Linked DNA regions of Anolis sagrei. The protein of the gene in region 2 interacts with the protein of the main gene of each other region in a pairwise test. Links are inferred from orthologs where the notes say so. Each region holds a gene or a part of one and is shown on either strand. Other genes may lie near its edges. The genes, in order: VAMP4, LMNA and BNIP3L.

Region 1 (7,785 bases), on a different chromosome or scaffold from region 2:
AAAAATCACAAGGGGCCAAATCTGGAGAGTGGGCCGGCCACTCCAAATCTGCTCGAAAAATTGGCCTCAACAGCAAAAGCACAATCATCACTGTTCCAATGCATTATGGCGACTGAACTGTCAGGACAAAACTTTATACTCCTGCCTCTCAAACGAGACCACTAGCGCTCCGCTACGTCTTCAACCGACTGAATGGCGCGCATTTTAAAAAAGGAAGTTATGTTGCCTCACCCTGTATTTCAAAATGGAGGCGCTCTTTTCAACTGGGAGTGAATTCCTGACCTGAGAATAGCAGAGGAGCATACATGTAATAAGACAAATTTCATTGCGCCGGGGGGGGGGGGGGGGGGAGAAACGAAAGGTGAGGAAGATGAATTACAAGCTCTTGTCTCTTATGATTCTAAAATAAACACAAAAGTTTGCATTTTGAGCCCAAAGGGTGTGGAATGGCTGTTGAGGATTCCTGTTGATCCCCAAGTGAGTTTAACCTGGGTTAACCCAGAACAGCCCTGTGTGGCATTTATCCACCATGGGGTTGATTGCACCTCAAACTGACCTAAGTCGTTAGTGTAGATATGCCCAAAGAAGTATCAAAGCCCAGTAAAGTAAAAGACAAAGATCCTCTAGTTGCCAGACCTCCTTTGTCCAATTTTAATCCTGCTTTTCATATGATTGCTACAATAGTAAGAACAAGAGTGATGATTTAGCAATGAGTGTTTTGTTAACGCTACTCAGCAGAAATTAATTAATTAATTAATTAGCTGTATTTATATTCCGCCCTTCTCACCACGCAGGGGGCTCAGAGCCGATTACAATGTATGCATATATGGCAAACATTCAATGCCAAAGACACACAACAGATATAGACAGACAGTCAGAGGCTATTTAACTTTTTCTGGCCGCCAGGGGAACTGTCGCTTTCATCTTCCATCTGCGACACTGATGAAGTACTTCCATATTCCCCGCATGCTTGCTGGAGTCTTTTTATGGCCTCATAAATTAGTTAAATTAGCCTCCCCACACAAAGGTGGTACCTAATTTTCCTACTTGACAGATGCAACTGTCTTTTGGGTTGCAAAGGTCGACAACAAGGTACATAATTGGTTGGAAACTCACTCCGACCCAGGCTGGCTTCGAACTTATGACCTTTTGGTCAGAAGTGATCTTAATGCAGCTGACACTCAGCCAGCTGCGCCACAGTCCCGGAACTGAGAGTTCCATGGAAAGTTACCAATTCCTTTAAAAATAATGTTACAATCTCTGATTATAGTTACTTTCTCTATGGCTAATGTCATGTGACCCAAGTTTATTGCTGCTGTCATAAAACAGCTCTGTATGTTGATGGCATTTTAATCTTCCTTAAAAATCCTGAAATGTCCCCTTCTCAATTTTGAAACAGGCCATGAATCACATAGACATATATTCAGGCATCCAAAGTAATTACTGTACCTGAATGTTCCACCTCCATAATAAAAATGCTGGCAATTCCTCACTAACGTACCATTTCATCCCATTTGGAGTTTCCAAGTCATGGCATAACAATTATTATTCTTATTATGAAAGGCAGATCTGAATGGACTCCATGTTCAATTTTATATTGCCACTACCTTTAATCCTACGTCTTGTCTTTCAATTGTTAGATGTGTAATGTAATTTTTGTAATGTCATTATTCAAATTTTATAGCAATGTCTTTATTATTACAGCATTGCATCTTTGCTGTTATTTGTTGGAAACCCCCCCCCCCCCGAGTCTGAGATAGGGCGGGTGTAAACAAAAGTAGGGCAAACACTTCTGTCGCGAGGCAGGATGGATCTTGTTTTTCTTATCTCACCTCTGCCTCCAATTATAAACTTATAATAATAATATGAGGAGCCCAAGATAGAGATGATGCGTGTTGCTGAGACTTTGTTTATATATATATATATATATATATATATATATATATATATATATATAAATAAATAAAAAGTGGGGTTTATATGAGAGAGATGACTTCTAGGACACCTGTTTGTGTCACTTTAATATGTGTATCCCAGTGCCATAAAACTGTCTTCGGTTCCACAAGATCTCATCTTCTCTTTCCTGGAGAAACTTCTCTTTAATAAGTAGTCACAAACACTCAGTATTTTGAACTGATCAGAAACAACATTTATTTAAAGGTTTCTCAGGTTCACATAAGCTTGACGGTTTTTTAAAAAACTGTTTTTTAACTGTTGGTTCTTCGGAGAACATGAAACTGTTACTATTAAATTTTTAACAATGGCTTATCTTCTCTCTCCTTAATGTTTGTTATTTCTTTTCTTTGAAACTTAGTTTCTTTTCTCAGTCCCACTTTTATTGCTTCAGGCTTGACACTGAAGTCATAAATAAAACTACCTGGAATCCCTTTCTTCTAGCAACCCAGCTAGATTATACTACAGACTTAAATATTTCTACCCTTACTTACTCAACACTGAAGATTAAACACTTGGCTCACTACCTGTAGCCACCTATTCCTTCTGACTACCTGTCAGAGACTTAAACTACTTGGTCTAGCTCCACACAACTACAACCAACCATCCTTTGGTTCATCTGGGCACCAACTGACTCTTTTCAAGTTGTGTTCTTTCAAACAGTGGCAGTTAGCTCCGCCGCTTTCTCTTCTGCCTTGAGGACTATGTCGCTATGGCAATGCCTTAGCTCAGGCTACCCATCAGCTGCACCTATATCATAATATCAATAAACATATGTAAAACCTCCATTTTTAATTAGACATTTCATTACAGCGGGATATAAATAAAGTCGAAGGCTTTCATGGCCAGAATCACTGGATTGTTGTAGGTTTTTTCGGGCTATATGGCCATGTTCTAGAGGCATTCTCTCCTGATATTTCGCCTGCATCTATGGCAAGCATCTTCAGAGATAGTGAAGTCTGTTGGAAGTAGGAAAATAGGTTTATATATCTGAGGAATGACCAGGGTGGGACAAAGAACTCTTGTCTGTTGGAGCTTGGTGTGAATGTTTCAACTGACTACCTTGATTAGAATTTGATGGCCTGGCAGTATTAAAAAAACTCTAAAATTACAACAGCAAAACAACAGAGAGGAAACAATCAGGCACACCTAATCACCTCTCAACAAAAGATTACCCCAGGCACTAACAAGCCACACCAAACAACTGCCAGACCATCAAAAGTGAAGCTACCTATCCGACCGCATCTCTGCCTATGAACCCACCAGGACTTTGAGATCTTCCGGGGAGGCCCTGCTCTCGATCCCGCCTGCTTCTCAATCACGGCTGGCGGGGACGAGAGATAGGGCCTTCTCGGTAGTGGCTCCTCGGCTATGGAACGCCCTTCCTACGGACATTAGACTAGCACCATCTCTAATGGTATTCCGCAAAAAAGTGAAGACCTGGCTGTTTGAGCAGGCGTTCGAATAATTAGTGCAATGATTGGTTAATGAACACTGGAATGGAACAATGGATGACGAATCTGGAACATGTTTTTGATTATGAGACGACAGTGAATGGGTATTGTAGTAACTGTTTATTAATTGTGTAATGTGTTAGATTGTTAACTGTTTTTATACTGTAGCACTGAATTTTTGCTGTTCGTATTTGTTGTGAACCGCTGTGAGTCGCCTTTGGGCTGAGAACAGCGGTATATAAGTAAGGTAGGTAAATAAATAAATAAATATAAACCCCTTTTTCCCAGCTCCAGCAGACCTCACCTCTGAGGATGCCTGCCATAGATGCAGGCGAAATGTTAGGAGAAATGCCTCTAGAACATGGCCATATAGCCCGAAAAAATCCACAAGAATTGAGAAATAAATAAATGCTAATCAAGGTGGTGAGTTGAAACATTCACACCTAGCTCCAACTAACAAGAGTCCTTTGTCCCACCTTGGTCACTCCACAGATATATAAACCCTTTTTCCTAGGTCCAACAGACCTCACTACCTCTGAGGATGCTTGCCATAGATGCAGGCGAAACGTCAGGAGAGAATGCCTCTAGACCATGGCCATATAGCCCGAAATAACCTACAACAACCCAAAGTTTACTATTGTTATGATACGTCCTGTGCATAAACTAAAAATATAAGGTGATAATATCCAGCCTTTATCTGAATGAACATCCTGTTGATTGGAGCCTATTCTGTTTTGCCATACTATGCCCTGATAGTGGCTACTTTGTTCAGAGCCTGATTTACACATCAAAGTAATCAAATGTTGTGGTACTCCCATTTGTTTTAGAACAGCCCAAAGGTTTGCATGGTTTCCCTCGTTTTCTCCAGCTCAATGTGATGAAGTCCTTACTTTGCTTCAGGGCGAAAAGCCTTCGCAGGACGATACTCCCAGGCGGAGAGTCAGAGGTGGAGCGAGAGGGCCCACCGTGGCCTGCTTTGGGGCGACTCCAAGCGCTTGCCCCAGGCTTCTCCGGCACGAGGCCTCGCAGAGAGGCCGCGGGGTCACAGAAACGCCCTTTAAAGCTCCCAACGCTTTCCCGCCTTTCTTGGGAAAGGAAAGACTCCGTCGCGCGCGCCCCCCTCCAGGCAAAGCGCGAGGAACCGGAAGTCGCGCGAGCAGGGCTTCTAGGGACGCTTTCGGCAACTGAGAGAGCCGCTGACGTCACCCCGTCTCCTCAGTCATTTCCGTGCCGGTCCGGAACAGGAAGTCAGTGAAGAAGAGCGGGGTTTTCTGGGAAGAAGCCTATGCGCTCCTGAGAGGCCTGGCTCCGTCGTATGTGTGAGGGGATGGAAGTCGTCGGATAAGGTGAGGAACAAGGGTGAGGGAGAGGGAGGCAGAAGGCCGGGGTGGCCAACGAGGGAGAGCTCCCCCCGAAGGCGGGCCTGTGGGAAGGGGGCGTCGGGTGAGAGGAAGCCCTCCCACACAGACATACTGCAAGCGACTGTGGGACCCTTGGCCAATGGAGGGCTGGCCCTTTGGAAGGGCGAGGGAGGCTCAGGGCGGTTTCCAAAGGCAGCCATAGGAACAAAAGAGACAAACAAGCAGTTAAAACGCACAGTTACAAATAAAAAACAATAAACCATGTAATCGAGCGACCCCGTAAATAACACCACAGGCTGATGATGATGATAATAATAATAATAATAATAAAACTTTATTTGTATCATCTCCCCAAGGGACTTGGTGCGGCCAAGCCCACGATACATCAATAAACAAAACATCAATAAAACAATCAAAACAATTCATATTTTTTATTTGTCGTGTCAGGGCAACCAGTCAATTATTATTTATTTATTTATTTATTTATTTATTTGCTTCACTTTTATACCGCATATTTCAGCCCTTGACGGGCGACTCAATGCGGTTTACAGTGCACTTAAAAACACAGCAATACAACAACCGGGACGACAATGTTGCTCCACAACAATTAACATCAGACAGACAAATCTACAAACAACATATATAGCGCCTCCGTTAAAGTCAGATCCATTCTCATAGTCATTGTGCCGTTCCTATGTTCAGTTACCGTCTTCCTTAGTTAGTTGCATTGCCTAGCCAAACGCTTGTTCGTAAAGCCAGGTCTTGACCATTCTCCGAAACGCCAGCAACGAAGGTGCCTGTCTGATGTCTGTTGGTAAGGCATTCCATAGCCGAGGGGCCACCACTGAGAAGGCCCTGTCTCTCGTCCCCGCCAAGCGCGCCTGTGACGCAGGCGGGATCGAGAGCAGGGCCTCCCCAGACGATCTCAATGTTCTAGTCGGTTCGTAGGCGGAAATGCGTTCGGAGAGGTAAGCGGGGCCAGAACCGTTTAGGGCTTTATAGGCCAAGGCCAGCACCTTGAATTGAGCCCGGTAGCGGATTGGCAGCCAGTGGAGCTGGCTCAGCAGAGGAGTGGTGTGCTCCCTGAGTGCCGCTCCTGTTAGCAACCTGGCTGCCGAGCGCTGGACCATCTGAAGCTTCCGGGCCGTTTTCAAGGGCAACCCCACGTAGAGCGCGTTGCAGTAATCAATCCGGGATGTGACCAGAGCGTGGACCACCATGGCCAAGTCCGACTTCCCAAGGTACGGGCGCAGCTGGCGCACAAGTTTGAGTTGTGCAAATGCTCCCCTGGACCCGAGACCTGGGGTTCCAAGCTTAGCGAGGAGTCCAGGATCACACCCAAGCTGCGAACCTGCGTCTTCAGGGGGAGTGTAACCCCGTCCAACACAGGCTGTAACCCTATACCCTGTTCGGCCTTCCGACTGACCAGGAGTGCCTCTGTCTTATCTGGATTCAATTTCAATTTGTTCACCCTCATCCAGTCCGATACAGCGGCCAAGCAACGGTTCAGGACCTGAACAGCCTCCTTAGTAGTAGGTGGGAAGGAGTGACAGAGTTGGACGTCATCTGCGTACAGATAACACCGCACTCCGAAACTCCGGATGATCTCTCCCAACGGCTTCATGTAGATGTTAAATAACATGGGGGACAATATTGAGCCCTGCGGAACCCCACAAGTCAATGGTTGTGGGGTAGAGCAATTGTCCCCCAGCAACACCTTCTGAGTACGATCCTCTAGGAAGGACCTGAGCCACTGCAGAGCAGTGCCACCAAGGCCCATTCCCGCAAGGCGTCTCAGAAGGATACCGTGGTCGACGGTATCGAAGGCCGCTGAGAGGTCCAGCAGAACTAACAGGGACACACTCCCCCTGTCTAGCTCCCTGCGCAGATCATCCACCAAGGCGACCAAGGCTGTCTCGGTACCATGTCCCGGCCTGAAACCAGACTGTGCCGGATCTAGATAATCAGTGTCTACCAAGAATGCCTGGAGTTTACATTTACATTACATTTCTAACAGTACAAAGCAAAGAAACAGTCAAAATACAAAATTTGTGAGTTTGGTAGTTGGTTAAATGTCCTTTGACCAGTATCTGGCCACTGGGAGTGCTTCTGGTGTTGCCGCAAGAAGGTCCTCCATTGTGCATGTGGCAGGGCTCAGGTTGCATTGCAGCAGGTGGTCAGTAGTTTGCTCCTCTCCGCACTCGCATGTCAAGGATTCCACTTTGTAGCCCCATTTCTGAAGGTTGGCTCTGCATCTCGTGGTGCCAGAGCGCAGTCCGTTCAGCGCCTTCCAAGTCGCCCAGTCCTCATTTGGTATCAGCCATTGGTTGAGGTTCTGGGTTTGAGCCTGCCACTTTTGGACTCTCGCTTGCTGAGGTGCTCCAGCGAGTGTCTCTGTAGATCTTAGAAAACTATTTCTAGATTTAAGTCGTTGACATGCTGGCTGATACTCAAACAGGGGATGAGCTGGAGATGTCTCTGCCTTGGTCCTTTCACTATTGGCTGCTACTTCCCGGCGGATGTCAGGTGGTGCAATACCAGCTAGGCAGTGTAATTTCTCCAGTGGTGTAGGGCGCAGACACCCTGTGATAATGCAGCATGTCTCATTAAGAGCCACATCTACTGTTTTAGTGTGGTGAGATGTGTTCCACATTGGGCATGCGTACTCAGCAGCAGAGTAGCACAGTGCAAGGGCCAATGGACAGACCAAATGTAATAAATTAAAATTAAAAAATAATACTGATGTGAACAAGGTAGGATATAACTGGGATAGGATTTTCAGAGAGAAATGAGGGAACACGTCAGTCCTAAATCAGTGGTAAAGTGCATTTTGAGGGCATATTACTGAGAGTTTTCCTTATTCTGGGAAGGCACATCTGTATACAATAACTTGGCTATCCAGTATGTTAAGGAAATATGATCATCATCGTCAGACAAGATACAAACAAAAAAGAGCTAATAATCTTCCTCTCCAAAGGCTAATGTGCAAATGTATGTTTTAAAGTGATTATTGAAGG
Region 2 (8,530 bases):
AAGAGATAGATGATTAAGAGAGAGAGAGAGAGAGATCATAGAATGTTAGAGTTGGAAGGGACCCTCCAGGGCCATCCAGTCCAACCCCCTTCTACCATCAAGGGAGACACCATCTAATCCCTCCCAACAGATAGCCACCCAGCCGTAGATTGATGGCCAGATATATGACTGACAGATGGAAAAATAGATGATTGAGGGGGGGGGGGAGAAGCTATCATGGAATGCTGGAGTTGGAAGGGATCCCCAAGGGCCATCCAGTCCAACCCGCTTCTGCCATCAAGGAAGACACCATCAAACTCCTCTCAACAGATGGCCATCCAGACATGGAGATGAGTGACAGGTGGAGAGGGAGACAGATGATTGAGAGAGAGAGAGAGAGAGAGAGAGAGAGAGAGAGATCTATTCTAGAATGCTGGAGTTGGAAGGAACCCCCTTCTGCCATCAAGACACTGTCTAATCCCTCCCAACAGATGGCCACTCAGCTGTAGATTGATGGCCAGAGATATGGCTGACAGATGGAGAAAGAGATAGATGATTGAGAGAGAGAGAGAGAGAGAGTATATCATGGAATGCTGGAGTTGGAAGGGATCCCCAAGGGCCATCCAGTCCGGCCCCTTTCTGCCATCAAGAAAGACATCATCAAACTCCTCTCAACAGATGGCCACCTAGCCATAGATTGATGGCCAGAGATATGACTGACAGATGGAGAAAGGGATAGATGATTAAGAGAGAAAGAGAGATCATCGAATTGGAAGGGACCCTCCAGAGTCATCCAGCCCAGCCCCCTTCTGCCATCAAGGATGACACCATCAAACCCCTCCTGACAGATGGCCATCCAGCCATGGAGATGACTGACATGTGGAGAGGGAGAGAGATGATTGAGAGAGAGAAAGATCAATTCTAGAATGCTAGAGTTGGAAGGGATCCCCAAGGGCCATCCAGTCCGACCCCCTTCTGCCATCAAGGAAGACACCATCAAACTCCTCTCAACAGATGGCCACCCAGCCGTAGATTGATGGCCAGAGATATGACGGACAGATGGAAAGATAGATGATAGAGAGAGAGACCCTGGGTGTTGATCCCCAGCCTGCCGGTCCTGAAGGTCTTCCCTCCCAGGCAGGCCCCCAAGGCGTTATGGGGGGGGGAGCTCCCCCAAATGTGTTCTGGGCTCCTGAGCCGGATTCCCCCGCCGCCTGGGGGCTTCCCCCCCCCCTTGAGAGAAAGAGGGGAAGAGACTGGCCTCCGCTCTCCCTCCCCATCCAGCCGTGACTCATTCCTGCCGTGATGCGGGCCAGATATTAGATTACTGGCTCCTGTAAAAAAGCTGTCTGTGTGTATATGTGCGTGTGGCATGTATGTGTGCCTCTGTTGCCGTGGCGACGGGAGTGACTCACTGCCGGGAAACCGGTCTGGGTTTTCCTCCCTGCGTCCAGCTTGAGGCCTGTTTGGTCTCCTGGGAAGCCTCTCGTTTGCAAATGGGAAACAGCCCGGCACTGGGCTCTCCAAGGCGCTCTGAAGAATCCTCTGAGGGGGTCCGTAGCCACAGGTGCAGGCAAAACGTCAGGAAAGACGGACACTGGAACAGGGCCCGGAAACCCACAGCAACCCATTAAACAGTCAAAGAGTGTCGGGTGGGGTCTCCGGCCTGCGCCTGGCTCTTGTCTTCCCCAGTGTCTTCCTAGTTCTCGTTCCTATACAGTACTTTTGAGATTCCTTGTGTGATAGATAGATAGATAGATAGATAGATAGATGGAGGGATGAATGGGTAGGTAGGTAAGTGGATGAACAGACAGATAGATTGAAGTCGATAGGGAATTTGAAAGGGTCTAGTCAGAGGAGAGACCCTGCGGCCCCACCAAAGAGGGATTGCTACTTTGGCGAGTCAATCCGTCAACTCGCGGATATGGGGGCCCGAGGAGTTTCCGTATCCGCGGTTTGAAGGAACGCAGTTTCGGCATCCCAGGCAGGCCAGCGGCTTCCCGTGCCCCGGAAAAGGTTGAATTCATGCATTACATACTGGTGAGTCAGGAATGGGACACAATGTATCACTACAAAGAGGTGAAGGTTACAATTCAGTGAGTCTTTATTAAGGGTTTAGTTACAATGTTTGGGCAGGGGATCGCTACGTTGGAGAGTCGATCCGTCCACCCACGGATACGGGGCCCCGAGGGGTTTTCGTATCCGCGGTTTGAAGAAACGCAGTTTCGCCCTCCCTGGGACGCCTGGAAGGCATCCCAGGCGGTGAGTCAATCCGTCAACTCGCGGATACGGGGTCCCGAGGTGTATCCGTATCCGCGGTTTGAAGAAACGCAGTTTCGGCTTCCTTGGGATGCCTAGAAGGCATCCCAGGCGGGCCAGTGGCTTCCCACACCCCGGAAAAGGTTGAATTCATGCATTACATACTTGTGAGTCAGGAATGGGACACAATGTATCACTACGAAGAGGTGAAGGTTACAATTCAATTAGTCTTTATTAAGGGTTTAGTTACAATGTTTGGGCAGGGGAAAGAAACGAAAGGAGAGAGCTCAAGGTTGCAAAGAGTCACTGGTTTAGGCTGCTGCTGGGGCATATTTCATCAGCGCTTGCCCAATGGAGCATCCAAGGAACTGCGGAACCCCCTGCGGCTGGTCAGATGAGCTTGAAAGCAGGGGGCTGGGGTGCCCTTGGCATCAAGATGACAGAGAGTGAGGTACATAAACATGGGCAGATTGATGCACAAGGATGCACAGTGGGTGCTGGTGAACTACAACTCCCATATGCAAGTCCCATCATCCATGGTCATCCTCCTCTAAAGTGCACCAAGATGTGGAATGGGTCACGGGGGCTCTGTGTTCCAAGTTTCGTCGTGATCCGTCATTGGTGTGGGTTGCAGTGGTCTCAGGAAGTGAGTGAAGGTACTGCAAGTCCCATCGTCCATGATCCATCCTCCTCCAAACTGCACCAGGATGTAGATTGGGTCACGGGGGCTGACAAGTTTGGTCTTGATCAGTCATTGGTGTGGGCTGTAATAGTCTCAGGCAGTGAAGGTACTGCAAGTCCCATCATCCATGGTCATCCTCCTCCAAACTGCACCAGTATGTAGAGTGGGTCATGGGGACTCTGTGTGCCAAGTTTGCTCTTGATCCATCATTCCTGGTGGTCATAGTGGTCTCAGGAAATGAGTGAAGGTACTGCAAATCCCATCGTCCATGATCCATCCTCCTCCAAACTTCACCAGGATGTAGAGTGGGTCATGGAGGCTCTGTGCGTCCAGTTTAGTCTTGATCAGTCATTGGTGTGGGCTGTAATGGTCTCAGGCAGTGAAGGTACTGCAAGTCCCATCGTCCATGGTCCATCCTCTTCCAAACTGCACCACAATGTAGAGTGTTTCCTTATGGTGGTGTTTATGATCACTGGACAATGCCTAGAGAGATGGGTGGAGGGATGTGGAGAGAGCAGGCCTGGTGTTGTGGACTCCAACTCCCACAATTCCTAGATTGACTGGATTGACCTTGAAGGAGCTGGGGGAGGTGACGGCCGACGGGGCACTCTGATGTTGGCTGGTCCCTGAGGTCACAAAGAGTTGGAAACGACTGAACGAATAAACAACAACAAAAAAAATATTTATCAATTAGTTCAATTAGCCTCCCCGCATAAGTGGTACCTAAATTTCCTACTTGACAGAGGCAACTGTCTTTTGGGCTTCAAAGGGGAGCTGTCACTTCAACATCCACTTGTGACACTGATGGAGTACTTCCTCATTCCTTTGCATGTTGCTGGAGAGTTTTAGGGCATTATAAATTAGTTAAATTAGCCTAAATTTCCTACTTGACAGTTGCAACAACTGATCAAATGAACAACAAGAAAATTAGTTCAATTAGCCTCCCTGCATAAGCAGTACCTAAATTTCCTACTTGACAGAGGCAACTGTCTTTGGGGCTGCAAAGGTGGACAGCAAGCTAGACCAATGGTCGGGAGCTTACTCCAACCTGGGCTGGCTTTGAACTCAGTCGTGATTTTAATGCAGCTGGGTCCCAACCCGGTAGGCTGCTGGGAATGGTGGGAGTTGAAGTCCAGAACACGGGGAAGGAGGGAGGGAGGGAGGGAGGGAGGGAGGGCCCAAGTTGGCCCAGGCCTGGGAGAGGTAGAGAGTCTTGACTCCAAGGCAGGGCGAGGTGTATGTTGTGCGCAGGCGCGGCCTTGCTGTGAGCGGGAGGGAGGAAGCAGGGGGCGTGGCAAGAAGCAGGGGGCGTGGCCAGGAAGGCGTGTCTATTTGGGGGAGATGGAGAGCCTGGAGTCTTGAGGCGAGGCGTGCGTTGTGCGCAGGCGCGGCCTTATTGTGGGAGGGTGGGAGGGAGGAGGGGGCGTGGCGAGAAGGAGGGGGCGTGTCCAGGGAGGCGAGTCTATTTGGCCCAGAGAGAGAGTCTTATATTGAGCCTTGAGGCGAGGCGTGTGTTGTGCGCAGGCGCGGCCTTGCTGTGGGAGGGAGAAGGGGGCGTGGCGAGGAGGAGGGGGCGTGTCCAGAGAGGGAGTCTCTTTGGGAGAAATTGAGAGCCTGGAGTCTTGAGGCGAGGCGTGCGTTGTGCGCAGGCGCGGCCTTGTTGTGGGAGGGTGGGAGGGAGGAATCAGGGGGCGTGGCGAAGAGAAGGGGGCGTGTCCAGGGAGGGAGTCCCTTTTGGGATAGATAGAGAGCCTTGAGTCTTAAGGCAAGGCGAGGTGTATTTTGTGCGCAGGCGCGGCCTTGTTGTGGGAGGGAGGAGGGGGCGTGGCGAAGGGGAGGGGGCGTGTCCAGGGAGGCGGGAGAGAGAGAGTCTTATATTGAGTCTTGAGGCGAGGCGTGCGTTGTGCGCAGGCGCGGCCTTGTTGTGGGAGGGAGTGAGGAAGCAGGGGGCGTGGCGAAGAAGAGGGGGCGTGTCCAGAGAGGGAGTCTCTTTGGGAGAAATGGAGCCTGGAGTCTTGAGGCGAGGCGTGCGTTGTGCGCAGGCGCGGCCTTGTTGAGGGAGGGAGGAAGCAGGGGGCGTGGCGAAGGGGAGGGGGCGTGTCCAGGGAGGCGGGAGAGAGAGAGAGAGAGAGTCTTATATTGAGCTTTGAGGCGAGGCGTGCGTTGTGCGCAGGCGCGGCCTTGTTGTGGGCCGAGAGGGGGCGTGGCGAAGAGGAGGGGGCGTGTCCAGGGAGGGAGTCTCTGGGATAGAGAGTCTTGAGGCGAGGCATGCGTTGTGCGCAGGCGCGGCCTTGCCTTGTTGTGGGAGAGAGGGAGGGAGAGAGGAGGGGGCGTGGCGAAGAGGAGGGGGCGTGGCCAGGGAGGCGAATCTATTTGGGATAGAGAGCCTTGAGGCGAGGCGTGTGTTGTGCGCAGGCGCGGCCTTGTTGTGGGAGGGAGTGAGTGAGGAGGGGGCGTGGCCTGGGGGTGGGCGAGGCTATTTAAGGCGTGCTGCTCTCCTCAGCCGCGGCATTCCTGTCAGGATGGAGTCCTCGGTGGGCGGGAAGCGCGGCACGCGGAGCACTGGAGCCGGGGCCTCGGCCTCCTCGTCTTCTTCCTCCATGGGGACCCCTCTGTCCCCGGCTCGGATCACGCGGCTGCAGGAGAAGGAGGACCTGCAGGAGCTGAACGACCGTCTGGCGGTGTACATCGACAAGGTCCGCTCTCTGGAGTCGGAGAACGCGGGGCTGCGGCTCCGGATCTGCGAGTCCGAGGAGGAGGTCAGCCGCGAGGTCAGCGGGCTCAAGGGCGCCTACGAGGCCGAGCTGGCCGACGCACGAAAGACCCTCGACTCCGTCGCCAAGGAGCGGGCCAGGCTCCAGCTCGAGCTCGCCAAGACCCGCGAGGAGCACAAGGAGCTCAAGGCCAGGTCAGTCCGTCCCTCAGGGGGTGTCCACACTACAACTCCCAGCAGGCCTCAGGGGGAAAGGGTGCCAGGAATGATGGGAAATGGAGTCCCAAACACCTCAAGGGAAGAAGGCCCCCTTGCCAGGCCTGCCCCCCCCCTCAGGGGCGAAAGGAAAGGGCCCCAGGGTGCCAGGGATGATGGGAATTGGAGTCCAAAACACCTCAAGGGAAGGCCCCCTTGCCAGGCCTCCCCCCCCTCAGGAGAGTGGGACTACAACTCCCAGCATGCCTCAGGGGAAAAGGAAAGGGCCCCAGGGTGCCAGGAATGATGGGAATTGGAGTCAGAAGCTCCCCCCCCCCCAAGTAGATCTCAAAGGAAGAAGGCCAGCCCTAGAATCATATTGCCAGGCCTCCCCTTGACCTGCTTGGGACTACCACTCCCAGCATGCCTCAGGGGGAAAGGGGAAAGGATGCCAGGGTGCCAGGAATGATGGGAGTTGGAGTCCCCAACACCTCAAGGGAAGAAGGCCCCCCCCAAGTGGATCTCAAAGGAAGGAGGGAGGCCAGTCCTAGAATCATATTGCCAGGCCTCCCCTTGAATGGCTTGGGACTACAACTCCCAGCATGCCTTGGGGGGAAAGGAAAGGGCGCCAGGATGCCAGGAATGATGGGAATTGGAGTCCCCAACACCTCAAGGGAAGAAGGCCCCCTTGCCAGGCCTTCCCCCTCCCCTCAGGAGAGTGGGACTACCACTCCCAGCAGGCCTCAGGGGGAAAGGGGAAAGGAGGCCAGGGATGATGGGAATTGGAGTCCAAAACACCTCAAGGGAAGAAGGCCCGGGGGTCCCCACACACACCCTCTCGCCAGGGGACTACAACTCCCAGCAGGCCTCAGGGGGAAAGGATGCCAGGGTGCCAGGAATGATGGGAGTTGGAGTCAAAGGGGGCAGGCCAGCCCTAGAATCATATTGCCAGGCCTCCCCTTGACTGGCTTGACACTCCAACTCCCAACATGCCTTGGGGGAGGGGGGAAGGAAAGGGCACCAGGGTGCCAGGAATGATGGGAGTTGGAGTCCCAAACCCCCTCAAGGGAAGAAGGCCCCCCCAAGTGGATCTCAAAGGAGGCAGGCCAGCCCTAGAATCTTATTATAAATTATGAATTGTTATGCTATTTATTATTGTTAGGCCTCATCGGGAAGATACTTATATTATATGAATTACAAGCTATTTATATTATACTAGCCCTACCCTGCCACTCATTGCTGTGGCCAACCTTGCCTCCCTCTTTCTCTCCTTCCTTCCTTCCTTCCTTCCCTCCCTCCCTCCCTCCCTCCCTGTTCTTTCCCTTCCTCGTCTTTCTCTACCAGTTTCTTCCTTTGCTCTTTCGTTCCATCCTTCCTCGTCTCTTTCCTTCCTTTCTTCCTTCCTTCCTTTGCTCTCTCTCTCTTTCATTCCACCTCTCCTTCCCTCCTTCTTTCCCTTCTTTCTCTCCCTCCTTCTCTCCTTCCTTCCTTCTCTACCCTTCTTTCTTTCCTTCCTTCTCTCCTTCCCTCCTTCCTTCTCTACCCTTCTTTCTCTCCTTCCCTCCTTCTCTACCTTTCTTTCTTTCCTTCTCTCCTTCCTTTCTTCTTTCCCTCTTTCTCTCCCCCTTCTCTCCTTCCTTCCTTCTCTATCCTTCTTTCTTTCCTTCCTTCTCTCCTTCTCTCCTTCCTCCTTTTCTTCCACCTTCTTCCTTCTCTACCCTTCTTTCTTTCCTTCTTTCCCTCCTTCACTCCTTCTTTCCCTTCTTCTTTCCCTCTTTCTCTCCCTCCTTTCCTTCCTTCTCTCCTTCCCTCCTTCTTTCCTTCCTCCTGCGAGGAGCACAAGAAGCTCAAGGCCAGGTCAGAGGCCTCCCCTCAGGAGAGTGGGACTCCAACTCCCAGCATGCCTTGGGGGGAAAAAGGAAAGGGCCTGAGGCTGCCAGGAATGCTGGGAATTGGAGTCCAAAACACCTGGAAGGAGGGAGGGAGGGAGGGAGGGAAGGCCTACACCTCACAGCCACCCAACAATTATAAAACTATTAGTTATTTATAATGTGACAGATAATCACCTAATAAATAAAAATAATGAGTGAATATAAATATAGAATAAAATGATAATCAATAATGAAATAAATTGTGGAGAAAGGGGTATATAATAATCAAGTAATAGTAATATATGCATAGCCACTTTTAGTCTCCTTCCAGAGAAAAAAGGTTGCAAAGAAAACAATACTATATAATGATATATAGAGTCGTAGTAATGATATTTATTTATTGAGTCATCAGCAACCAGTCAATTATATTATAGTGATGATGATGATGATGATGATTACATGGAGGGGGGTGGAATCCTATTAAGTTTGCTGGGGGAACCTTGGATTCTTCCCAGGAAGGCCAGAGATCCCTTTCTGGGAAGGAAGCAAGGCAGGGCCGTTGAACCCCTTCCCCTCCTTTGCTGCACTTTTTGCAATGGAGTCGGACTAGATGCCCTTTGGGGGCCCCTTCCCAGCACCTTGCGGAGAAACCAGGCTTCCTTTCCCTCCATCTCCATTTTGGCAGCCCTTTCAGGGTGTGGCCGGGAAGCCATGTGGCAGGACCCTCCCTGCCAGCCTCTCCCAAATGCCAGCGGGCCCTGCCAGGACACACAATCTAGATATATATATATATAGACCTATATCGGGCTGTTCTGTCTTGCATTGTCTCAG
Region 3 (8,138 bases), on a different chromosome or scaffold from region 2:
GCATCCTCAGAGGTAGTGAGGTTTGTTGGAAGCAGGAAAAATGGGTTTATATATCTGTGGAATGACCAGGGTGGGACAAAGGACTTTTGTCTGCTGGAGATAAAAAGGTAAAGGTAGTCCCCTGACATTAAGTCCAGTCATGTCTGACTCTGGGGTGTGGTGCTCATCTCCATTTCTAAGCCGAAGAGCCAGCGTTGTCCGTAGACACCTCCAAGGTCATGTGGCCATTGGCATGACTGCATGGAGCGCCGTTACCTTCCCGCCGGAGCGGTACCTATTGATCTACTCACATTTGCATGTTTTCGAACTGCTAGGTTGGCAGAAGCTAGGGCTGACAGTGGAAGCTCACGCCGCTCCCCGGAATCGAACCTGCGACCTTTCGATCAACAAGCTCAGCAGCTCAGTGCTTTAACCCACTGCTCCACCGGGGGCTGCTGGGGACAGGTGTGAATATTTCAGCTGATCACTTTGATTAGCATTCAATGGCTTGGAAGTGCCCGGGGGGAATCCCTTGTTGAGAGTGATTTTATGTGCCTGTTTGTTTCCCCTCTGTTGTTTTGCTGTTGTGATTTTTGAGTCCTTTAATACTGGTAGCCAGATTTTGTTCATTTTCATGGTCTCTTCCTTTCTGTTGAAATTGTCCACATGCTTGTGGATTTCAATGGCTTCTCTGTGTAGTCTGACATGGTGGTTGTGAGAGTGGGCCAGCATTTCTGTGTTCTCAAATAATATGCTGTGTCCAGGTTGGTTCATCAGGTGCTCTGCTATGGCTGATTTCTCTGGTTGGAGTAGTTTGCAGTGCCTTTCATGTTCCTTGATGCATGTCTGGGCGCTGCGTTTGGTGGTCCCTATGTAGATGTGTCTACAGCTGCATGGTATACGGTAGACTCCTGCAGAGGTGAGAGGATCCCTCTTGTCCTTTGCTGAACGTAGCATTTGTTGGATTTTCTTGGTGGGTCTGTAGATGGTTTGTATGTTGTGTTTCCCCATCAGCTTCCCTCTGCGGTCAGTGGTTCCCTTGATGTATGGCAGGAACACTTTTCCTCTGGGTGGATCTTCATCTTGACTTACAAAACTAAAGTTCTGGTGGTGAAAATTTCAGAACTGTAACGAAACTTTCAAAATTTAATTATTATTTCATTATTGGTGATTTGCTTGGTTCCCTTGCAGCTCTTCTGATGTCTGAGGTGGAGTCTCCATTGGCCTGGAGAGCCACTTTTTGCACAGTCTGCCAAGGCTTTAATTGTGCTTCTTTTTTGACTTGGGTGATGGTTGGCTTTTTTTTTGACTACACAGAGAAGCCATTGAAATCCACAAGCATGTGGACAATTTCAGCAGAAAGGAAGAAACCATGAAAATCAACAAAATCTGGCTACCAGTATTAAAGGACTCAAAAATCACAACAGCAAAACAACAGAGGGGAAACAAACAGGCACATGAAATCACTCTCAACAAGGGATTCTCCCCGGGCACTTCCAAGCCATTGAATGTTAATCAAGGTGATCAGCTGAAACATTCACATCTAGCCCCAGCAAACAAAAGTCCTTTGTCCCACCCTGGTTATTCCACAGATATATAAACCCATTTTTCCTACTTCCAACAGACCTCACTACCTCTGAGGATCCTTGCCATAGATACAGGCGAAACGTCAGGAGAAAAACTGCCTCCAGAACATGGCCATATAGCCCGGAAAAACCTACAACAACCCAGTGATTCTGGCCATGAAAGCCTTCGACAATACAAATTATTATATTTATTATTATTATTATTATTATTATTATTACTATTATTCAGACTGTAAAGCAGGCCTGGGTCAACTTTACAACTAACACTGAGGCCTACCTCACACTGAGGCCATTCTCTACTGTATTAAATATTACTATATAAATAATATAATATTATTATAATGTACTATACCATTATATAGTAATATTATGAGTAATATCACATGTAATATAATATATAATTACATTGTTATTAGTATAAATACAATATATTAGCATAGTACAAAATCAGTATTACTATTACTATATAAATAATATAATATTATATTGTACTACACCATTATATTATAATACTAGCGGTCCTCTGCCACGCGTTGCTGTGGCCTTGTCTGGTGATATCCAAATAAAGTAATGAGAAAGTGTTGGTTTCTAATATATGTAATGTCTTTATGCTTGTGGGATTTCTTGATGTTTCTTTGACAGTGTTGACCTAGAAATTGTCTGGTTTGCCTACTCTGGAACATGCATCATATAATTGTCCATCTTTAGGAGTCCCTTTCAAATCTATAATACTTTATCTGTGTGTGTGTGAATCATATATATCTATTGATACCTATGGCTGGATGGCTCTCTGTTAGGAGGGCTTTGATTACGTTTTCTTGCCCTGGTGAAGGGAGTTGGACTGGATGGCCTTAAGTATTTTCTGTTGGTCATGGGGTTCTGTGTGGGAAGTTTGCCCCAATTCTGTCATTTGTATTTTTGTTGCTATCATTCAGAATAGTCTTTGATTGTAGGTGAACTATAAATCCCAGTAACTACAAGTCCCAAATGCCAAGGTCTATTTCCTCCAAATTCCATCTGTGTTCGTATTTGGTCATATGGAATATTCATGCCAAGTTTGGTCCAGATCCATCATTGTTTGAGTCCACAGTGCTCTCTGGATGTAGGTGAACTACAACTCTCAAACTCAAGGCCAATGCCCACCAAACACTGCTAGTATTTTCTGTTGTTCAGGGGAATCCTGTGTGCCAAGTTTGGTTCAATTCCATCGTTGGTGGAGTTCAGAATGCTCTTTGATTGTAGGTGAACTATAAATCCCAGCAACTACAACTCCCAAATGACAAAATCATAATTTTTTGAGTGATGGTCACTCCTTGTGTAGTGAGATGTTTTGTTGCCAAATTTGGTGTGATTTCGTTCATTGGTTCTTTTGTTTTTAAGGTACTCATTATGAACAGAGCATTTATATATATATATAGATATATAGATTACATAACTATATATACATGTATATATACATACAATATATTATTAGCATAGGACAATATCAGTATTAAATATTACTATATACATCTAATTAAATATTACTATATTATTAATATAATATTATATTGTACTGTACCATTATATTGTTATATCATGAGTAATATTACATGTAATATAAATATATAATTATATTGTTATTAGTATAAATACAATATATTGTATTAGCATAGTACAACATCAGTATTAAATATTTAAAAAGGTAAAGGTAAAGGTAAAGGTAGTCCCCTGACATTAAGTCCAGTTATGTCTGACTCTGGGGTGTGGTGCTCATCTCCATTTCTAAGCCGAAGAGCCAGCGTTGTCCGTAGACACCTCCAAGGTCATGTGGCCGGCATGACTGCATGGAGCGCCGTATTAAATATTACTATATATATATTTAAATATTACTATATTAATAATGTAATATTATATTGTACTATACCATTATATTGTAATACTATGAGTAATATTACATGACATATAAATATATAATTATTAAGCTTGGGCAATCCATGCTTCTAAATGGTTCTAAAGTACTTACAAAACTAAAGTTCTGGTGATGAAATGACATCTCCTGGGAAGACAAGCGGACAAACGTCAGCGTGCTGGAAGAAGCAAAGACCACCAGCATTGAAGCGATGGTCCTCCGCCATCAACTCCGCTGGGCCGGCCATGTTGTCCGGATGCCCGACCACCGCCTCCCAAAGCAGTTGGTCTACTCCGAACTCAAGAATGGAAAATGGAATGTCGGCGGGCAGGAAAAGAGATTGAAAGACGGGCTCAAAGCCAACCTCAAAAACTCTGGCATAGACACTGAGAACTGGGAAGCCCTGGCCCTTGAGCGTTCCAGCTGGAGGACAGCTGTGACCAGCAGTGCTGCAGAATTCGAAAAGGCACGAGTGGAGGGTGAAAGAGAGAAACGTGCCAGGAGGAAGGCGCATCAAGCCAACCCCGACCAGGACCGCCTTCCACCTTGAAACCAACGCCCTCACTGTGGGAGATGTGGGTCAAGAAGAGGGCTCCACAGCCACCTACAAACCCACAAAAATAGTCATCAAGGAAGACCATCTTACTCGTCCAACGAGGGATCGCCTAAGTAAGTAAGTAAGGTGGTGAAAATTTCAGAACTCTAACAAAACTCTCAAAATTTCATAATAAATGGCAGTTCCTAATTGGTTCTGCCATTAAAATCACCAATAATGAAATAATAATTACATTTTGAGAGTTTTGTTAGAGTTCTGAAATTTTCACCACCAGAACTTTAGTTTTGTAAGTACTTTGGAACCATTTAGAACCATGGATTGCCCAAGCCTAAGAATTATATTGTTATTAGTATTATACTGCATTGCATTATAATATTAGGCTTCAGGAGAGCAGTCAGGGCGTGGGCTTATTTGGGTGCCTTGATCGCTTGCCTTCTCTGCAAGGAGCCGCCTACACTCTTGCGCCTGCGCACTGAAGGCTCAGTCCTCTGGCCACACCCCCTCTCCGCGGACGTGAGAAGCGTCAGGGAGGAAAAGCGGAAAAGGGGGGCGTGATCTCCCGGGCGCATGCGCGCTGGCTTAAAAAAGGCAGGCGCATGCGCAGCACACGCCCCGTGTTGTTTGGTGTTGTTGTCCCCCTCTCTCTCTCGCCAACCCAGACGGAAGGAGAGTCCCGCGCCGGCCGCCATGTCGTCCTCCCCTCCTCAGGAGTCGCCTCACAACAACAACAACCCCCCGCCGGGGGAAGGGGAAGCGACGCCAGCCGAGGCCGGGCTCAACAGTGAGTAGGAGCGGGTGGGCGAAGGGGAAAGTCAGGGCAAGCCCAGGGGAAGGCGAGGGGTCGCCTCCCCGCCTGAGGGAACCTTCCTCTCGGCCTGGATTGGCTGGGCCTGTCAAAGATAACCTGAATCGAACAGGAAGAATACCCCTTGGGTCTAGCAGCAGTCCTTTTGGGATGACTTACTTACTTAGGCGATCCCTCCTTGGACGAGTAAGATGGTCCTCCTTGATGACTATTTTTGTGGGTTTGTAGGTGGCTTTTTTTTTTTAATCGTGTCATCAGCAACCATTGTATTACAATTCTAACAGAGCAAAACAAACACAGAGATTAAAAAGAAAAAAAAAGAAAGAAAAAAAACCACACAGATTTTGCAAATTTGGTAGTTGACTAAATGTTCTTTGACCAGTATCTGGCCCCTTGGAGTGCCTCTGGTGTTGCCTCAAGAAGGTCCTCCATTGTGCATGTGGCAGGGCTCAGGTTGCATTGCAGCAGGTGGTCAGTGGTTTGCTCCTCTCCCCACTCGCATGTCGAGGATTCCGCTTTGTAGCCCCATTTCTGAAGGTTGGCTCTGCATCTTGTGGTGCCCGAGCGCAGTCTGTTCAGCGCCTTCCAAGTTGCCCAGTCTTCTGTGTGCCCAGGGGGGAGTCTCTCGTCTGGTATCACCCATGAATTGAAGTGCTGGGTTTGGGCCTGCCACTTTTGGACTCTCGCTTGCTGGGGTGTTCCAGCGAGTATCTCTATAGATCTAAGAAAACTGTGTCTTGATTTAAGTCGTTGACGTGCTGGCTGATACCCAAACAGGGGATGAGCTGGAGATGTCTCTGCCTTGGTCCTTTCACTATTGGCTGCTACTTCCCGGCGGATGTCAGGTGGTGCAGTACCAGCTAGGCAGTGTAATTTCTCCAGTGGTGTGGGTCGCAGACACCCTGTGATAATCGGCATGTCTCATTAAGAGCCACATCTACTGTTTTAGTGTGGTGAGATGTGTTCCACACTGGGCATGCATACTCAGCAGCAGAGTAGCATAGCGCAAGGGCAGATGTCTTCACTGTGTCTGGTTGTGATCCCCAGGTTGTGGCAGTCAGCTTTCGTATGATGTTGTTTCTAGCGCCCACTTTTTGTTTGATGTTCAGGCAGTGCTTCTTGTAGGTCAGAGCACGGTCCAAAGTGACTCTCAGGTATTTGGGTGCGCTGCAATGCTCCAGTGGGATTCCTTCCCAGGTGATCCTCAGAGCTTGACTGTTCTTAAGGTGAAAGGCGCATGTCTGTGTTTTAGATGGATTAGGGATCAGTTGGTTTTCCCTGTAATAGGCAGTAAGAGCTGTGGAGCCCTATTCTTGACCCGCATCTTCTCCCACAGTGAAGGCATTGGTTTCCAGGTGGTCGGGGTTGGCTTGACGCGCCTTCCTCCTGGCACGTTTCTCTCTTTCACCCTCCATCCGTGCCTCTTCAAATTCTGCAGCACTGCTGGTCACAGCTGACCTCCAGTTGGAGTGCTCAAGGGCCAGGGCTTCCCAGTTCTCAGTGCCTATGCCAGAGTTTTTAAGGTTGGCTTTGAGCCCATCTTTCAATCTCTTTTCCTGCCCTCCAACATTCCGTTTTCCGTTCTTGAGTTCGGAGTGGAGCAACTGCTTTGAGAGACGGTGGTCGGGCATCCAGACAACGTGGCCGGTCCAGCGGAGTTTATAGCAGAGGACCATCGCTTCAGTGCTGGTGGTCTTTCCTTCTTCCAGCACACTGATGTTTGTCCGCTTGTCTTCCCAAGAGATTTGCAGGATTTTCCAGAGGCAGCGCTGATGGAATCGTTCCAGGAGTTGCATGTGACGCCTGTAGACAGTCCACGTTTCGCAGGAATAGAGCGGGGTTGGGAGGACAATACAGTGAGGGCATTCGTTTCCAGGTGGAAGGCGGTCGGGGTTGGCTTGATGCGCCTTCCTCTTGGCACGTTTCTTTCTTTCTCCCTCCATTCGTGCCTCTTCAAATTCTGCAGCACTGCTGGTCACAGCTGACCTCCAGCTGGAGCGCTCAAGGGCCAGTGCTTCCCAGTTCTCAGTGTCTATGCCAGAGATTTTAAGGTTGGCTTTGAGCCCATCTTTCAATCTCTTTTCCTGTCCTCCAACATTCCGTTTTCCATTCTTGAGTTCGGAGTAGAGCAACTGCTTTGGGAGACGGTGGTCGGGCATCCGGACAACGTGGCCGGTCCAGCAGAGTTGATGGCGGAGGACCATCGCTTCAATGCTGGTGGTCTTTGCTTCTTCCAGCATGCTGATGTTTGTCCACCTGTCTTCCCAAGAGATTTGCAGGACCAGATCTTCGGGGCAGTGCAGTGAGGCAAAATGGTGTCCTGAGATGGTTTTTAAGCAACTTTTAATGTGAACATAAGTGATTTTAATGCTTGCATATATTTATGGTTTTATACAATCATAGAATCAAAGAGTTGGAAGAGACCTCATGGGCCATCCAGTCCAACCCCATTCTGCCAAGAAGCAGGAATATTGCATTCAAATCACCCCTGATAGATGGCCATCCAGCCTCTCTTTAAAAGCTTCCAAAGAAGGAGCCTCCACCACGCTCCGGGGCAGAGAGTTCCACTGCTGAACGGCTCTCAGGAAGTTCTTCCTCATGTTCAGGTGGAATCTTCTTTCTTGTAGTTTGAAGCCATTGTTCCGCATCCTAATCTCCCGGGAAGCAGAAAACAAGCTTGCTCCTTCCTCCCTGTGACTTCCTCTCACATATTTATACATGGCTATCATATCTCCTCTCAGCCTTCTTTTCTTCGGGCTAAACATGCCCAGCTCCTTAAGCCACTCCTCATAGGGCTTGTTCTCCAGACCCTTGATCATTTTAGTCGCCCTCCTCTGGACACATTCCAGGTTAGAGTCAATATCTCTCTTGAATTGTGGTGCCCAGAATTGGACACAATATTCCAGGTGTGGTCTAACCAAAGCGGAATAGAGCATGGGGAGCATGACTTCCTTAGATCTAGACACTATGCTCCTATTGATGCAGGCCAAAATCCCATTGGCTTTTTTTGCTGCCACATCACATTGTTGGCTCATGTTTAACTTGCTGTCCACAAGGACTCCAAGATATTTTTCACACGTTCTGCTCTTGAGCCAGGCATCGTCTCCCATTCTGTATCTTTGCATTTCATTTTTCCTGCCTAAGTGGAGTATCTTGCATTTGTCCCTGTTGAACTCCATTTTATTAGTTTTGGCCCATCATCTCTCTAATCTGTCAAGATCGTTTTGAATCCTGCTCCTGTCCTCTGGAGTATTGGCTATCCCTCCGAATTTGGTGTAGTCTGCAAACTTGATGATCATGCCTTCTAGCCCTTCATCTAAG

Evidence for each region.
Region 1: the proteins of LMNA (region 2) and VAMP4 interact in a two-hybrid assay, tested with the Homo sapiens proteins (2 studies listed by BioGRID and IntAct, with this or other methods). The link is inferred for Anolis sagrei from reciprocal best matches to the Homo sapiens genes LMNA and VAMP4.
Region 3: the proteins of LMNA (region 2) and BNIP3L interact in a two-hybrid assay, tested with the Homo sapiens proteins (2 studies listed by BioGRID and IntAct). The link is inferred for Anolis sagrei from reciprocal best matches to the Homo sapiens genes LMNA and BNIP3L.

What each region holds. Positions count from the first base shown.
Region 1 is NC_090024.1:130,545,513-130,553,297, forward strand, and holds the start of VAMP4 (vesicle-associated membrane protein 4), read left to right. Parts: upstream 1-4,629; 5' UTR 4,630-4,753; intron 4,754-7,785. UniProt on the Homo sapiens protein: Involved in the pathway that functions to remove an inhibitor (probably synaptotagmin-4) of calcium-triggered exocytosis during the maturation of secretory granules.
Region 2 is NC_090032.1:22,671,447-22,679,976, forward strand, and holds the start of LMNA (lamin), read left to right. Parts: upstream 1-5,412; 5' UTR 5,413-5,442; coding exon 5,443-5,828; intron 5,829-8,530.
Region 3 is NC_090027.1:6,901,493-6,909,630, forward strand, and holds the start of BNIP3L (BCL2/adenovirus E1B 19 kDa protein-interacting protein 3-like), read left to right. Parts: upstream 1-4,605; 5' UTR 4,606-4,699; coding exon 4,700-4,793; intron 4,794-8,138.